Drosophila melanogaster: one gene and its partner. The protein of the gene in region 1 interacts with the protein of each later gene in a pairwise test. Each region holds a gene or a part of one and is shown in the gene's direction. Other genes may lie near its edges.

Region 1 (9,091 bases):
CCATGTATTCGATATACCCCTCTCTCTCTCTCTGTCTACACAGAGAGAAATTGGCACTTCTAACACTATATTATGGCATTTACGAAATGTTGCATTTTACTTTGCTTGTTGGTATAACTTTACTTAAACATTAAATCTAAATAATTGCAATATTCGAATATATATTTGGTAATCTATGCTTTTGAATCTCTTTTTCGTCGCCTTTTTATCGCCGTGTACTTTTTCGGTTTATCTTGTTCACAGTTTGCGTGTGTGGGCGATGGCATAATGGGGTTTTCGAACGACATTGAACTCGAAAAAATTGAAAAGTGTCGGCGGCCCATGCAAACCAAGCTGTCTTTGACTTTGCTTTACTCGAAATCTAGTTTATCTGTGTGTGCGTGTGTGCTCCTCTCTATTTGTTTATGTTTTCCATTTCGCCTTTGCTTTTTCAGCAACAACATTTGAAACATAACTCCAAATTCAGTTCTGTCTAAATCCGATTCTAAAGGTAGACATTTCTCAAATATTCCCACATTTTTGGCTCTAATCCCTTGACTAATCATCATCTTCTGTTCCCGTTTTTTTGTTCATATTTTGCAGAAGCAAAAGCCGGAAAAGGATTGGACCAAAAACTAAACGCATTAGATTGCAATTCGTGCTGAAACGATATACAGCGAATAGAGACCACCGAGAACTCGAAGACACATCACCAACATGGTTGACTACTATAAAATTTTGGATGTTTCGCGATCCGCTACCGATAGTGAAGTGAAGAAGGCGTAAGTAAACAAATGACTTTCGAAGTAACACATATCCTCCGGTCAACATATTCGTTTCATCACAACATTCACCACTTGCAGATATCGAAAACTGGCACTAAAATGGCACCCAGACAAGAATCCCGACAACCTGGATGAGGCCAACAAACGCTTCCGCGAGCTGTCCGAAGCCTACGAAGTTCTTTCCGATGGTAAGTGCCTTGCTCAAGCGCAGATTTCTTCGAGCGTCGAAAAACAAAGAAATTTGGGTTGGGTATCACGTGATCCGGATTCGGATGATCCAGGCTGCCTGGCATTAAGTCTTTATATTGTGTATTTAGCACGTAAGCGCAGAATCTACGATGCCCGGGCCACGCTGCACAAATCCTCGAACAGCGGAAGCAGCAGCAGCAACAGCAGCTCCTATACCCGCTATCGCAACGGCGGCACCGGTGGATCGTCGTCCTATGGACGGGACTACGACTACGACTACTATCCGGGCTCGGGGTATGGGTCTGGTTCCGGGCGGCGTTCCGGCAACCGGTACCAGGCCTTCACGTTTCGCAACATTTTCGAGGGCACTCCGTTCCACAAGATGTTCGGTAAAGGCGAGAGGCCAAAAGCGTTGCAATTGTTTCGTTACTTTGGTTTTGCTGACTGACATCCTGGCGCACGTCGTTTTGTTTTTCGTTCGTCATTCTATCTGCAACTAAACGCTGTTTTCGTACAGTGATGGGGGAGCATTCATAAGCATTCATAACCTTTCCCACCACTGTTTCCATGCTAAGTCTAAGCTAATCCTCGCAGCTCGAGCGTTTATTACTAATTAATTGCATTTACTTTCCTGTTGTTTCACACCCAACTTACCATGTACTCCCATTTCTTAACAGAGAAAAAGCGTCGCATATACGATGAGTATGGCAAAGATGGACTGGGCGATCGTGGCCAGAGTCGCTCGCATGCCCGCCACCATTATAGCACACACGATTTCGATGACTTCGATATTTTGGGCGGCTTTCAGTTTGCATTCCGCCCGCCCGAGGAAGTGTTCCGTGAGTTCTTCGGCATCCACTCGCCCTTCGCCGACTTATTCCGAGGTGAGTGTTTTGATGGGATGGGTAAACGTGTGTAGAGAGTGTTCTAACTTTTATGATTATCGTTTTGCAGATGCCAATGGACATTCGAATGGCAGCACAAGCGGCTCGAGTGGCAGTCGACGCAATGGCGGCAGCAGTGGATCATCTCGCCACCATCATCATCACCACCAGCACAAAGTGGCCAGTCCGTTCGGGGCTCCAATGCTTAACTACTCAATGATGGACTTCTTTATGCCCACCAGCGGCTTCACCTCGTTCTCGTCGATGACCCACGGCAATGGCAGCAGCGGTGTCACCCACATCTCCAGCGGACCCGGTGCCAGTGTCAAGCGCACCTCCACTTCGACGGTGTTTGTGAATGGCAAGAAACTGATGACCAAACGGTATGATAAACTCTATCTGGCCATCATAGAATCGTTTCATATCTGCATTTGCATTTTCAGGGTCGTCGAAAACGGCAAGGAAACTGTCTTTTCATATGAAAATGATGTTCTGAAATCAAAGACTGTGATGGGCTCCCTTCAATAGCTAATTAATTAAATTCACACATAATATATATATATATAAATATCAACAAAAATCAACAAAGGAAAAGTCATAAATGTAAAGCCGAATGAATATTAACAAGCCCAAGAAGAACTCGGAATTCGTTACCGCTTCGAAATATGATACTTTTAAAACTTTAAAACTTTGCTCTACACTACAATTTAGTTACTTTTAATGGACCGAACAGCACCATAAATGAATCAACAGCCAGCGAAAGGACCAAGCAAAAATTAATCAACAGCAGAAACACTAACAGCAGCGATATCCACACCAAAAATATGGAACATGGAACAGGCCATTGAATTAAATCAAAATTCCCCGTAATAGCGAAATATGGAAATTTATTTTTTAAGCATAGTTTTTGAACACAGCTGCCCTACAACAAAATTGCACCGGTGGAATAAAGCCAACACCATCGAGCACCACGAGAATTAATGGAAAAACCATACTGAAAATTTAGCCAATAAGTTTTAGGGGCCAGATTTTAAATATGCTGTTCGGAGCGAGTGTGTTTGGGTGTATATCTTTTTGGGGGGGATAATTATGTATTCTTCGTGTATGTATCGTTAGTCACTTAAGTTGCCACAATACTTACTAGGAAATCGAAAGCGGAGAAATTCAATCTAAGCAATGAATCGGAACTAAAATAGGCTTTGCGTTAATTTTTCTTTACATTGTAAGGGATATGAATATGAATATTCTAAACGATGACATTTAATTTTTATAAATATTTCATAACCTAGATTTCTTTATTAATTTCGATGCTGTATGCTAGCGTATAGTCGTTTTTTAAATGCTTAAGACTATTCTCACATAACCTGCAGAGCGAAAAGAAAATTAATCGTAACATAATCGCCAATAATTTAATACTTTGTTAAGCGAAAATTTCATAATGAGAATAAAAAAAAAAACACATGAGAATGAAAATATACAATAGATGCGAAACAATTAAGACAAGTGTTTTATTACTACTTTAAATATAGTTTCATTTAATTAATTCGTTGAATTTCTGCGATGCAAGCTGATCGATGATAATTCTGACATAATATTAAATATTATTATAAATAGGTATTTTTATATAAACAATTATAATCACTTATGCGAGCATTTATATTGATGTATAGAATCAAGTTTTAATTGAACTCGCTTTTAAGTTATTTTTAAATCAGCAATAATGAATAATAAACCATGAAATCTTAAGAGTGAAATTTTAAATTTTCCCGCCAACTCTCTTTGGTTGGCAACGCGACCATCCCCTGGCCGTGCTGCCAACTTTTAGCGTGAAAATTAAAAGAAATTGAAATATCATAAGTAAAAAAGCCAGAATCAAGTGGAAGAAAGCTAAATTGGCAACACTGATCGCTGGCGGTATTTTCCTACGATCCACCAACGATCACACTTCCCCAAAATTATTAACAAAACGCAGCAGGATCGGAGCAAATGGCCCAAAAATGAGTCGCGATAGTGATCCCATGAAATGGTACCACGGCAACCTGTCCCGCGAGGCAGCCGACGAACTGCTAAAGCAGGGTAAGTGCTGGCGCAGGACGCCAATTGGCCTGACATCAGTGATGATCGCTGGGATGTGGGCGTGGTGGAGCACAATGATGGGTAATTGGTATGGCAATCAATCAACAGGTTACGAGGACGGGACATTTCTGGTGCGCGAGAGCAGCACAGCGGCCGGGGACTTTGTGCTGAGCCTGCTCTGCCAGGGTGAGGTGTGTCACTACCAGGTGCGGCGACATGGCGGCGAGGACGCCTTCTTCTCCATCGACGACAAGGTACAGACGAAGATACTGCACGGCCTGGACACGCTCGTCGACTACTATCAGCAGGCGGCCAATGGTCTGCCCACCAAGCTGACGGTGCCCTTGATCCGCGATCTGCCGCCGCACAACACTCGCAGCCACGGAGTGACCAATCTGCTGCATCGCGCCACAAGCAAAAACGAGAGCAAGGTCGTCTTCGAGCTGCTCAAGTGCGGCTATCGGAATTTCGATGCCAAGAATCAGGATGGACAGACGGCTCTGCATCTGGCTGCCCTCCACTCGGACGAGGATATACTGAAACACCTGTTGAATGCAAAGGTCCAGGTCAACAGCTCCGACTCCTTTGGCTGCCAGCCATTGCACGTAGGTTTACCCACGCACAACTATGCATAAAGCTCCCTATAACCATACACTTACATTCGTAGTACGCCGCTCGCTCCAAACCGGCCAGTTTCATACGCACACTCATCTCGGCACAGGCCAATGTCCAGGGCAGGAACATCGACAACGGCTATGTGCCGCTGCATGAGGCTGCCAAGCACGGCAACCTGGAGGCTGTGCAAGAGCTGCTCCTGGCTGAGGCTCCGCCGTTGCCCAGAACAAGTTCGGGTGAATTTCCATTCGATCTGGCCAAGGAAGCGGGCCAAACGGCAGTAGAAGAATTCCTGCTCAACTACAAGCTCCCACCGGCGAATACCACAAGAGACCAGTGGTATCATGGCACTCTGACCAGAGAAGAGGCAGTAGCCATACTAAAAAAGCATGCCAAGGAGCTATTGGCCAAGCAACCTGAAGTAGACACCTCCGGCTGCTTTCTGGTTCGCTACTCCGAGTCGCCGGCGGCCTCGGGGTTGGTTTTAACATTGCTTTGTGATCAGGTGGTCAAGAATTTTCGTATTTCGCAAGCTGATCTCTACCAGAATGGTAACAAGGTGCAGTCGGGCGGGGTAAGTTATCACCGTACTTTAAATGTTCTCTTTAAAGTAACCTCTGTTTTGCAGTCCAAGTTTCTGTACATTGATGACGGTCCCTACTGGCCAAGCGTGGAACATCTAATAGCCCACTTCATGCGTTTCTCGTACGGGTTGCCAGTGAGTCTCAAGTATCCGGTTCCGCCACAGCCCAAGCCAGAGGTGCCATCGTTTGCCACAATACCTCGATCTAATATGAAGCCAAAAGCAGCATCGCCCGCTACCCCGCCCACTCCAGTATCGCCACATTCGCATCATCAACACCCCCACGTTCCCGCCCTGACCATAACGAAGAAAAAGCAGAAGGAGAACAGTAGCTCAATGTTCAACACTCTGCGACTGACGAGTCCGAAGAAAGCGCTATTCGACATGAACAGCCTGCGCAAAAACAAGTCCAAGGGCAAACGCAGTGACTCCGAGAGCAGTGTGAGTGGTTCTTTGGCCGGAACGGAGCAGGAGCTGCAGGCAGCGGCACCCATGCTGAAGAGCCTGTCGTTCTCGACGGAGTTCTCAACGTTTAACGCGGATGGCGTAACTGGTTCTGGTGCCGCCGCTGCTGGCGAAGTGTACAACGTGCCCAGGAACAACACGCCCATTGAGATTGACCTGCCACCGATTGCCCAAAAGACTGAAGCCGAAGTTGAGTATTTCACGAAAAGTGATGTGGCCATAGAGCGCGAGCGAGCAGGTCAGTGGATCGGCAACGGCTACCAGCCCACAATGGACGTGCTATCCCTGTTGGATCAGCAGATCAAGGCGCCCGCCGTGGCGCGACTAAACTCGCTTGGTCCGAACGCATCAACGGAAAGTGAGATGGCCAGCTATCTTCATCGCAAGTGCAGCGGTACGCCAAGCACACCAAGCGCCACTGAGGTGGAGGCCGCCAAGCTGAGATTCTTTATTGAGCCAGAAAAACTAGTGCTGGATAGAGAGATCGGGCACGGGGAATTCGGTTCGGTGCACAGTGGATGGCTGCTGAGAAAGAGCGGTGCCGGCGAGGAATCGCGCTTGGAGGTGGCCATTAAGATGCTTAGCGACGAGCACAGCAACAAACAGGAGTTCCTGCGCGAAGCATCAGTTATGATGCGGCTGGAGCACAAGTGCATTGTGCGATTGATTGGCATTGCGAAGGGTGAAATGCTAATGATGGTTCAAGAGCTAGCTCCGTTGGGCTCCATGCTGCAGTACATACTGGATCATGGTCATGAGATCACGGCCAATGCGGAGCTGAAAGTTTGGGCGTCACAGATTGCGTGTGGTAAGTCAAATTCAAGACAATTTGATTCAATTCAATTAATTAATTAATGTTTGTACCAGGCATGCATTATCTGGAATCACAGCATTTTGTACACCGCGATCTGGCCGCCAGAAATATATTGCTGACCGCACGCCACCAGGCGAAGATCAGTGACTTCGGCATGTCGCGATCACTGAGACCCGGTAGCACGGAATACCAATTCACCCAGGGCGGACGTTGGCCCATCCGCTGGTACGCACCGGAAAGCTTCAACCTGGGCATCTTCTCGCACGCCAGTGATGTGTGGTCCTTTGGCGTGACCATCTGGGAGATGTTTTCCCTCGGCGCACCGCCATATGGGGAAATATCTAATGTCGATGCCATCAAGTTGGTGGACAGTGGCGAACGCCTGCCGCAGCCCAATCTCTGTCCAGCTTACATCTATGCCGTGATGCAGAGCTGCTGGAAGGAACGACCCAAAGATCGGCCAACCTTTGTCTATCTCACCGAGTTTTTCGCCCGCGATCCTGATTACCAAAACCTGCCGGAATTGGTGCAAACGGTTCACATTTAAGCCAGTTTCCATTTTCCATTTTTTCCGTTCTGAGTGCAATTTTCTGTAGCTATTTATGCAATGTCTTCTATTTCGTTTTCAACGTATTAACGATCTGGAACCCACAGATCACTATTGTTGTTCCGTATCCTAGTATTCATGTTTATAGCTTGTAATATATTTTTTAATCATATGTACAACCAATTTGTGTCAAAAGAAAGCGAACAAGTGCCTTAAAGATTTAGCATATAAGCTTTGTATTCATTTTTACAAATCCATTTTGTTTCATTGGTTATACAAAATAAAAACTATTTTTATACATACTGCGCTTTTTGATTTAGTATTAAATAATACAGCAGTATGCTTTAATAATCAATGTTTAAACATTTAATGCAGTTCTTTTATATAAAACGTGGTAACAAAAGTAAATAGTTTGTTGGTAAACCGCTTAAATACTAGGTTAGTAATATGGTTTCTTGGAAAGATTATAACTACGTTAGCGTGGTTAGTGCTCTAGAAATGGATTATATATTTTTTTGTTAATTTTTTCGAGCTAGCACAACAGTAATCAAGCTGATCCGTTTATTGCCTGCTTCACATTCGATGCGCTGACGAGCTTAAGGGCGCCAAGTATTCCGTTCAGGTTCTCCTCGTTGTAGGGCTTGCCCTGGAGCGGAGTCACCACCGGGACGAGCTGATCGCTCTGCGGCAGCTGGATGCCGATCTCCTTCATTAATCCCTACAAATTTAGTAAAATCATAAGTGATAATTCTCTAAAACAGGGCAAAACAAATCTTACCGCTTCCACTTCCACGCTTAGTTTCAGTTTCATGTCCTGCTCATCGCCCTTCACCTCCAGTTCCTTCTGCACGGTGAACTTGGGAGTCTTGCCGATGACCCAGTCCCAAGAGCTGTAGTTGGAGCGCAATTCCTCAATGCCGGGGAACCATTTCTCTGTGGGATTGACCAGCTGAAAGCCGCGCTGCTGCATCGTCTGTGTGCTGCCGCCGTCTTCAAGCGTAGTTGCAGCCGTTCTCAAATACTCGTAACCCACGGCGGAACGCAGCTGAGCAACGTTCACCGTGCGATTGACATCAACCAGGTTGCGAATGGGCGACGGCACCGAAGCCGTGGCCTTGCTAATATAATTGGCCGGCTCCCGCACCAGAGATTCGCCCAAGTGCAATTTGTTGGCGCTGGCCAAAATGGTGCAGTGATGGTACGAGTTCGGGTGTCCCAGCTTGGCCGCAGTGCCGGAAATCTGTAATTGAACAAGGGCATACTCGTTGAGTGGGCAAATAAAGACCAGATGCACAGCCCCAGCTGTTGGTTAAGTGAGCTGATGCCAATGTGAGGGATCAGCCGGGGTCGCATCATTCCTTGATAAGAGCCACCGCTCCTCCTCACCTTCTTATTCATCACTACAATGTCGTCGCGCTCATTTATCTCTGCCTTGATGGCCCATTCGCGGAACAAGGCCCTGGTCACGATGTTCAGGTTGTACTTGCGATCGTAGCGCTCTCTGGGCGAGAAAAAGGTGCAGTTGAGGTTCCCAAGATCATGGTACACCGCTCCACCGCCACTATTGCGGCGTGCAAGTGTTATGCCGCGTTCCACCAGCTGCGAAACATTAGCCTCGGTGAAGGGATTCTGGTGGCGACCAATGACTACGCACGGGTCGTTGGCCCACAGCAGCAGCACATGGTGGCGGCTGAAATCAAAGTTTTTGTACAGCCAATCCTCTAGAGCGAGGTTGGTGAACACATCGCTGGACTGCGAGATGAACACGGACTTCTTGATCTCCGAATCGGGAACCACGGGCGGTGGCTGGCGCCTCTGCTTTTTAATCTCCTGCTGTCCAGCAGATGGTGGCTCCACTCCGCTGGATGCCAGGCGCGTGGCCTGAGCGGCGGAGGAGAGAAGTAGCCGCAGCTGGCTGGAATTGCGTCGCAACAGCATGCTCATGGCTTACACAAGGAAGTGGGGCGTACGGGTGTGTGTGATTTCTGTTGCCAGGTGATCTGGGACACAATGCACTTGCAAGCGAAACAAGGTCAATGGTGTCGAAAAAAGCTTTTGGCTGGTTGATTGGTTGGTTGGTTGGTTGGTTTCTACGGTTGTCGTCTGCCTGGTTCTGTGTGGTCCGTGTGTGCTCTTCTTTAGGTTATGTATGGT
Region 2 (8,413 bases), on another chromosome or scaffold:
AGAGGTCACCGCATAGCCAGCATCTGCTGGTTCAGTGGCAGGGTCGTCCAGAGTCGAAAGCGTCCAGTTCTGGCCATTTGCTATGAGAACGGAAGGGTGCAGATCATGAGGAACGAAAATGACGACGGTAGGAGGTGATGCAAGCTCTAGAGTCTCCTAACTAACCCACATGACTTTTAGCACCCGCAATCTTCGACACTGGGATGCGCAATGTGGACGCCAAGTGGAACCATGATGGCACTGTGTTGGCCATTTGTGGCACCACCTTGGACGCGGTAAGTCCGACTTCGCAGCGCGACACCAACCAGGTGTGCTTCTACTCGCCGCTGGGCAAGATCTACCGCACTCTGAAGGTGCCTGGCACCGACATCACCTCGCTTAGCTGGGAGGGCAAATCGCTGCGCATCGCCATGGCCGTGGATTCGTTCATCTACTTCGCCAACATCCGACCGGACTACATCTGGTGTTACTTCGAGAAGACTGTGGTGTTCCTGAACAGCGGCAGTGCAACCAGGGAGTCGCCCATGAGCGTGATCACCTTCTGGAACACCGTCTCAAATCAGAGTTTCCTCAAGGAGGTGGAGCCCACCTTGTGCCTGGCGTCCAGCAGCGAGCATTGCGTCCTGGGCGTCGAGTGTGTCAGCAGCAACATCAAGGAGATTGCGCTGAGCACCCTGGAGAACCGAAGTAATCCTGCGGACGATAGGGTCTACCAGTTGCTCCTCTGCAATTCAATTGGCACCACCGTGGATTGTGAGTAGATCACCGTTGTTGATGTTTCGGACTAATCCCAGTTATTTTTAGCCAAGTACACGGATATTAGACCCTGCTTTGTGGGCATCAACTCGAGCTATGTGGCCATAGCGTCCCAGGAGGAGATTCTAATTTGGCACTACCACACACCCAAGGTGGGCACTTTCAGTCATCAACCTGGTTACCAATTGACTAACCCCCATTGATCTCCCTTCAGAGTGCCTCCACCCTGCACAATGTGAAGGCGCGCAAGGAGAAGCGGTTCCATATCGACGACACGCCCACGGGAGTGGAAATGGCCAAGGACCTGATGCTGAGCAGTAGCAGTGGCGATGGTCACTCCACGCAGCGGGGAATCAGTGATCCCATCTGTGCGCTGGCACTCTCCGAGAAGCTGCTCCTTGTCGCCAGGGAATCCGGCGCTATCAACGAGTACAGCATAGCAAACGTGGCTCTGAGGAACCGCCACCTGATGAACGCCAAGGTCTACAAGATGGCTATCAACTGCAATTCCACGTGGGTAGTCCACCACACTCCCTTGATACTAGTAATATTTATACTCCTTACTTAGACGAGCCGCCATTATCGACCATATGGGCGTGATGACCCTGCTCGACCTGGACGACAACAGGGAGACCCAACTGAACTTCAGTCGGGTGGAGCGCAAGGACGTTTGGGCCGTGAGCTGGGCCACGGATAACCCACTGCTGCTGGCTCTGATGGAGAAAACGCGCATGTATATCTTCCGGGGCAATGATCCCGAGGAGCCCGTGTCCTGCTCCGGCTACATATGCACCTTCGAGGACTTGGAGATCACCAGTGTCCTGCTGGACGACATAATCAGCGTGGGTGAGCTGCAGAATTTTTCGCATATCATTCAGCTGAGGGTAAAGTCCCTGCGCGATACCGACGATCTACTGGAGCACGTGGGACTGGAGGATGCCAAGCAGTTCATTGAGGACAACCCGCATCCGAGGCTCTGGCGACTGCTGGCGGAGTCTGCGTTGAAGAAACTGGAACTGGAGACGGCGGAGAACGCCTTTGTCCGTTGTGCCCACTACCCGGGCATTAAGTTGGTCAAGAGACTGCGCACCATACACTCCAAGGAGCTGCAGAGGGCGGAGATATCAGCCTTCTACGGAGAGTTCGAGGAGGCGGAGAAGCTCTACCTGGACGCGGATCGTCGCGATCTGGCCATAGAGCTGCGCATGACCCTTTGCGATTGGTTTCGCGTGGTGCAGCTGTACAGAATGGGAGGATCGGGAGTGTCGGACCAGCAGATGGAGATCGCTTGGCGGGAGATTGGCCACCACTTCGCCAACCTGCGCTCCTGGGAGAGTGCCAGGGAATACTACGAGAAGTCCCACTACCTGGAGGGTTACATGGAGGCTCTGTACCACTTGGAGCAGTTCGACGACTTGGAAAAGTGCGTGGAACGGCTACCGGAGAAGAGCCCGCTGCTTCCGAAGCTGGCCGAGATGCTGGCCTCCGTGGGCATGTGCTCCGAGGCTGTTCAAGCCCATCTTCGATTCGGCGACCAGAAGGCCGCCGTCGCCACCTGCGTTAATCTCCGGCAGTGGGGCGAGGCTGTTGAGCTGGCCCAGAGGTTCCAGCTGCCCCAGGTGCAAACGCTCATAGCCAAGCACGCGGCACAGTTGCTCCAGGAGGGACGCCTCAAGGAAGCCATCGAGATGCAGCGGAATGCTGGGCGTCATCTAGATGCAGCTCGCCTGCTTTCTCAAATGGCGGAACGGGAGCAAGAGAAGCGTGCTCCGCTGCTGAGAATCAAGAAGCTGTACGTGCTGGCTGCTCTGCTGGCCGAGGAGCACCTCAAGGCTGTGGCCACGACGGAGATCGACTACGCCAGCGGCAGGAACACCCTACTGGACTCCATTGCCCTGGAGGATGCGGCCGCCATCGAGAGGCTTTGGCACTGCGCCGAGGCCTACCACTTCATGCTCCTAGCCCAGAGGCAGCTTCGCTTCGGGATCGTCCACAGTGCGGTGGTCACTGCGGTGAGGCTGCGCGACTACGAGGACGTCCTGCCTCCAGAGCACATCTACAGCCTGTTGGCACTGGCCAGCTGTGCGGATCGGGCCTTCGGAACCTGCTCCAAGGCTTTCATGAAGTTGGAGCAACAGGCTCATCTTCCCGAGGCTACCCTTCAACGGTACGAGGAGTTGGCGGCTGGGATCTTCGCCAAGTACGATCCGGAGGACACCACTGGCGATAGGGTGGATTGCTATTCCTGCGGAGTGCCCGTGCCAGATAGGTAAGTGAAGGGTCGACGTCAGAAGCTGGATTATAATGATGATACTCATGGAATGCCGATCCTTTCAGCTCCCCCTCCTGCCCCGAGTGCAATGCTCGCTTCCCGGCGTGCATCTCCTCCGGGAAACCCATCACCCAGCCGACGAACAACATATGGATCTGTACCACCTGCCACCACTGCGCAGCTCCCACCGAGATCTCCAGGCACCGAACTTGCCCACTGTGCCACAGTTTGATCGTGTCCATGACGGTGGAGATCTGAAATGAGCGGGGACTAGTGTTTTAATTACTCCAGCTGTTTTTCATTCTGCTTATCCCAGGTGGTACAGGCGTATCTACTCCGCAAATAAACAATGTAGTTTTAAGATAGAATTCAAATTTATTTTCAAGTGAAAAGTGTTATAAGTGGAAAGAGTGACTGTTCACAGTGAGTATTTCCTGGGGAGTGCGCTAGGGCCACACTACTAGCTCATCCAACACTCGCAAAGCGGTCACACTGGCGAGTGCAGCTAAGTAAGTCGGTTGTCCGTTTCTTGCTGAATTTTAAATAAGTTAAATAAATTTCTGCTTCGTGCGGTGGTGTGCGTACGCAAATATAAAATAAAGTAAATAGTAATTGCGGTGCTTGCGAAAACCAAACGAGCTCCAATTGACCGACGAAAATACTTAAGTGCATTAAAGAATTGCGTTGTTGTGCGTCGCGCCCGTTTGTCCTTATTGTTGTCGTTAGTGGAGTGCACGAAAAGTAATTGTTTTTATTTAAAGAGGTTGCATTTTAATTGCTAAATCAGCTCAGTTGCGAGTAGAGTGCCAAAATAGAGAGTAGCGACAACGAAAACAAGTTTTTGTGGATGGTGAGAAAGTAAAAACAATAGCAAATTTATATATATAGCTATATATATATGTGGTAAGGTGCTGTAAGCATTTAAAAATACAAATCCTCTCGAGGTTTTAATGGCCAAAGTTTCGTAAACGTGTAAATTGAGTGGAATTCGATTGCGAGTGCATTCTTGGTTTGTTTTGAGTGAGAACCGAAAACCAGTTTACACCGTGCTTCTTGCCAAGGTGAGTTTTAACCCCAATCGTGGCAGTTTAACGTTAATTTTAGTCATTGTTATGTTGTTAAAAATAAGTTTTCTTCTGTTAAATGTGCAATTTCGCCTGGTTAGCTTTGTCAGCTCTCTTTCCCTTCCACCTTTCTTCTTTCCCAACGAGCGGTTTGTTTATGACCGCAGTAGTGCACTTGTGTGCGTGTCAATTAGCGCTTTTATCGGGCGCACACCAAGAACAGTTAAACCTGTTCTGGTTTCTCTTTCGCACAATTTAATGGCCTTTCTTTGGCTTTAGTTTTGCGCTTTCGTCGACTTCTTCTTCTTTGTATCTCATGCATGTATCTTTATATCTGTCATTCGGGGAATTGGCAGCAAATCGGCAAACTTCTCTTTCATCGACCCCCTGCGACCAGCACCTCGCTCCCTGGAAACCCGCATCTTGTGGATTCTTTCCAGTTTCCAGATTGCTGCTGAAGCTTCCAGCTGTCACAGCCGCAACAACAACAACGCCAACGGATCAAATGAAAACCCAGCCAGCATAAACTCACACACATCGAAATTGCCTAACTAACGCACACATTAAAATACAGTCGATGCATCGTCACGAAAATAAATAACAATAATAGCCGTTTATAATTTAGATCAAGTCGCAAAAAATTTTTTTGCGTTTAATTCTTTATGAGTACTGATTAAGGTATCAGTTCAGCGATATTTCATATTACTTCTGAATATGGGGGTGCACACAAATTAAGATATATGTAGAAACCGTTCTTATTTTTTATAGAATTCATTAAATAAGTATGGAATAAACTGCGATCATATTTCCCATACAAAGCATTTTTATTTTTCACACAGTTTCCTTAACCAAGCGATTTTAAGCTTAACCTTATATTTCTGACACTGGCAATGGAACTTGATTTTTATTATCATACGTGATTTAATGAACAATGACGCCTGCTTAGGACACGAGCTTCGAAATGCAATGCACAGCGAAAAGTCCCACAAGCCATTGCAAAATTAAAAACTGAAATGGCACTCAGAGGTGCACTCTCCCCACCCTCGGTATCATATCATATCATACCATGCCGTACATGTCACAATGTCTGTTTAGGTTCCTTTATGGAGCCGGGCTTTGTCGTCGCCATGATTACTCAGCTTTATTGATAATGCTGGGTGGAGGAGTGGCAGGGAGTGGCTGGGATGAAACCTCCTGGGATTTCTTGTCCAATGTGGCGGTGGTTAGAGAGCAACCCATGAGTCGGGATGTTAGTTTTCCCCTTATGATTACGACATTCTCTGTTCTCTATCTTTTCGCTTTGGGTTTGCATTATCCAACATTTTTCTTTGCTTTCTCCGTATTGTTGCAAGTGCATTTCGCTTTTGCTGATGATTATGCTTAATTCTTGTTCGTCTGTCTGCATTGCAATGTGTGGGTGCCTTTCCACTAGAATAATATACACATGTTTTCTTGGTTTTCAGCTGAAATCGGTTCTCTTCGCTGAATCAATCGAGAAAGCTTCTAGCTCTATCCAAATTCGGGCTAGAAATCCGAGCTTCGCCCGCTAATTGGCCAATACAAACTGAGGTGTTGAGTGTTTGGCTCACTTGTGAAATGAATACGAAACAGCTGAAATCACTGTTTCTCACTGATACTTCATAATGGCAGCTAACATCCATCCCAAAATAATAACGTTTGAGAACCCTTTGCCTCTTTGCTTTAATTAAACTGTTCACTGAAAGTTTTGATTGGCCTAGCATTTACGTAGTTCACAAATGTAAGACCCTAGACCTCGTGCAAACTGATATTCTTTCAATAATTTCATTTCCTGGGCCAGAACAACTTGTTTTTATACCAAATCTATTTCTTGCCATTGAAATCGTTTATTATTCTTAATAATCGTTTTTGCCAAATGTGCTTTGTCGCCTCGCCAAGGCGTTAAATTGCCCACTGAACGCCAAACATATGCGTTGCGGTTATTGGAGATGTGTATTGTGGATTCAGTAAACTCGACTTTGATTTCGCTATCCAAAGTACAGCTCAAGTGAGGGCTCCTCCTTTGTAGAATAATTCTGTTTATATAAAGCGGGAAGCGACAATCTTTGTTTAGCCTTTATCAAGTGCGCAGTACTTGAAGTTGGGGGAATAGCTGGCTCATTTTCCCCCTATGCTTAAGATTATAGTAATCCAAGTCAAATCCAGATGTTTACATATGCACTGTGCTGAATCAATTGAAAATACATCACAAAATATATACACACAACTTGAAGAATATAAGACCTACTCTTAGCTCTGATGGAGGTTTAATTGGAACGAAAATAGGCAATGCTTATACTTTATAAAATACATATCATTCTAATTGAATGAAATAGACGAATGCCATTGAGTTTTTTTAACAACAAAGCTTTCTCCTTAGTCCGAAAGTATTTCGCAGATTTTCTTTGGTTTGTTTTTGTTTTGTTTTTTTCTTTCGAAAGCTTTCATCGAAAATCAGGAAATTAGTCATATATAAGTACCTACATATGTATACATTATAGACAGATTGCCAGCGGAAACGGACTCGCAACTTACTTCTAATCAATCTTCTATTACCTTTGCTAACATTTTATGGTTCTCCCTCAACTTTTCGTTGACCCCTTCCGATTAAGAACCACTATCAGTGTGCCTCATCGTGTTGTTTCTGCTTGTCCAATACTGGGCGCAGATAAGGGCGAGGTATGATAAATATGAGGTGTGCCAAAAGTACACACATATTGGGAAAGGTCTGAAATACAAACCTGCGAATTGAGCGGTAGATTGACCCGAAGTTCGAGCCTTAGCCAGACTTTTGTGAATGAAATCCGAGTGACTCAGCATTGGAACAGATGCTGGGTATGCGGTATCGATGAATGGTGCATGGATTCGATACTCGATAAAACAAACTGTGCCGAACACGTTTTCCATTGAAAAATCTCGCACACTCGCCTATTATACATACAACTAACAGATCCGTATAGTTTATAGACTATAGTCTAGCATTGTTTAACCTAAGGTGACTCATCCACGACATATTCATTTAGCTCATTAAAACACCAATCAGGCATGTAAACAAATAAGTAAATTGCAAATGTAAGCTCGTTGTCTCGTGCAAGTTCGCATTTTAATATGATCTACATATGCGGAAGGGAAGATTGAGTGGCAAAATGAAACTTAATGGCAATGGGTTAGAGTAACACCCTAGTTTATGGTTAATATTTTTGATTCCAAAGGTTTATACTTTGTTTGAAAAACGTGGACTCTGCTAATCGTTAAAATGAAAGATTTAGCATTCAAATTGCAAATTAAATTAGACCGGATTGTTTGGTTCACACGATTTCGTTGTCCATCGTAAATTTGTATGATGTTACGGGATGATTTGGTATTATTCTATTAGTCTTTGTCCATGACCGGATTACGCACCTTCCGTTCCGTGGATCTGCTTATATATAGAGAGACTGAATTAGTCACCTACAACAGAACAAATATCAGTGAACCTCATCGCTGTTGTAATGGATGAGAATGACTGCGGCGGTCTTATCATCCACCCTTATCACTTGTAAAATCTTGAGCAAAGTCGAGGGGTATGCCAAATGGTTATCTCTTTCTACTTTAGGTTATATTGCCCCAGTTGTATATTATCGTTTCGGCTATCTTAAGGATTGTAATATGTATCTAAGAGGGCGAACACATTCACGATCTGCTCTAAAACGTGAACGTTCTATTAACACTGGGTTTCGAACAATTTCTCGTTTAAAATTTATTTGGCGCCGTTGGCAGTTCATCACGCGATTTCTTGCTAATGACGGCCTTGACAAACACCACTTTCTGATGAGTTAAGGGAGCACCTGCCGTGCGATTAAGTGAATCAGATTTCTCGCTGGCAAGAAATGAAACCAACAATTATCTTTGCAATATAAATATAGATTGTGGATCACGACAATCCCCCAGTTAATTGTACGTACTTTCCAACTGACCAGACATGGCTGGCCCGTGCTTCATGTCAGTTCCAAATAACCAAGTACTGAAAGAAACAGCTCTCTTTTGTTCGCGATTGTCATATATATTATACCTAATGTTTGGTATTAAAAGTGGATCTTTATTTCCTGAAAAACCGTGCTGGCATCAATTGCAAATGGTTCGGCCTGGATAATTTTACAGATAGCGATCCACGTTTATGCAATCCATTCTTGATGGGTCACTGGTAATTGTAAACCACATTCGGATATTACTTGGCCCAGTTCACACGTAGACTTGACATAATTAATGGCAAGTTCTCAATATCTCTTAGCCCCATGTTGAGTTGAAATTTGAGAAATCCCAG

Evidence for each region. The genes of interacting proteins can lie anywhere in the genome.
Region 2: the proteins of Shark (region 1) and drpr interact in binary tests that used the Drosophila melanogaster proteins (3 or more experiments, as listed by UniProt).

What each region holds. Positions count from the first base shown.
Region 1 is NT_033778.4:16,197,571-16,206,661, reverse strand, and holds Shark (SH2 ankyrin repeat kinase), read left to right. Parts: upstream 1-3,777; 5' UTR 3,778-3,834; coding exon 3,835-3,913; intron 3,914-4,021; coding exon 4,022-4,518; intron 4,519-4,580; coding exon 4,581-5,102; intron 5,103-5,156; coding exon 5,157-6,384; intron 6,385-6,443; coding exon 6,444-6,937; 3' UTR 6,938-7,236; downstream 7,237-9,091. Other genes in the region: mrj, read left to right, coding at 697-761, 843-952, 1,082-1,342, 1,631-1,837, 1,908-2,220, 2,281-2,365; Lipt1 (lipoyltransferase 1), read right to left, coding at 7,485-7,655, 7,716-8,177, 8,324-8,881. UniProt on the Drosophila melanogaster protein: Following axon injury, required for recruitment of drpr and glial cells to severed axons and for glial clearance of severed axons from the central nervous system.
Region 2 is NT_037436.4:1,726,201-1,734,613, reverse strand, and holds the start of drpr (draper), read left to right. Parts: upstream 1-3,506; 5' UTR 3,507-4,089; intron 4,090-8,413. Other genes in the region: Oseg4 (outer segment 4), read left to right, coding at 1-127, 181-753, 805-908, 971-1,269, 1,325-3,025, 3,094-3,286. UniProt on the Drosophila melanogaster protein: Receptor which is involved in the phagocytosis of a variety of cells including apoptotic cells, severed and pruned axons, degenerating dendrites, salivary gland cells, germline cells and bacteria.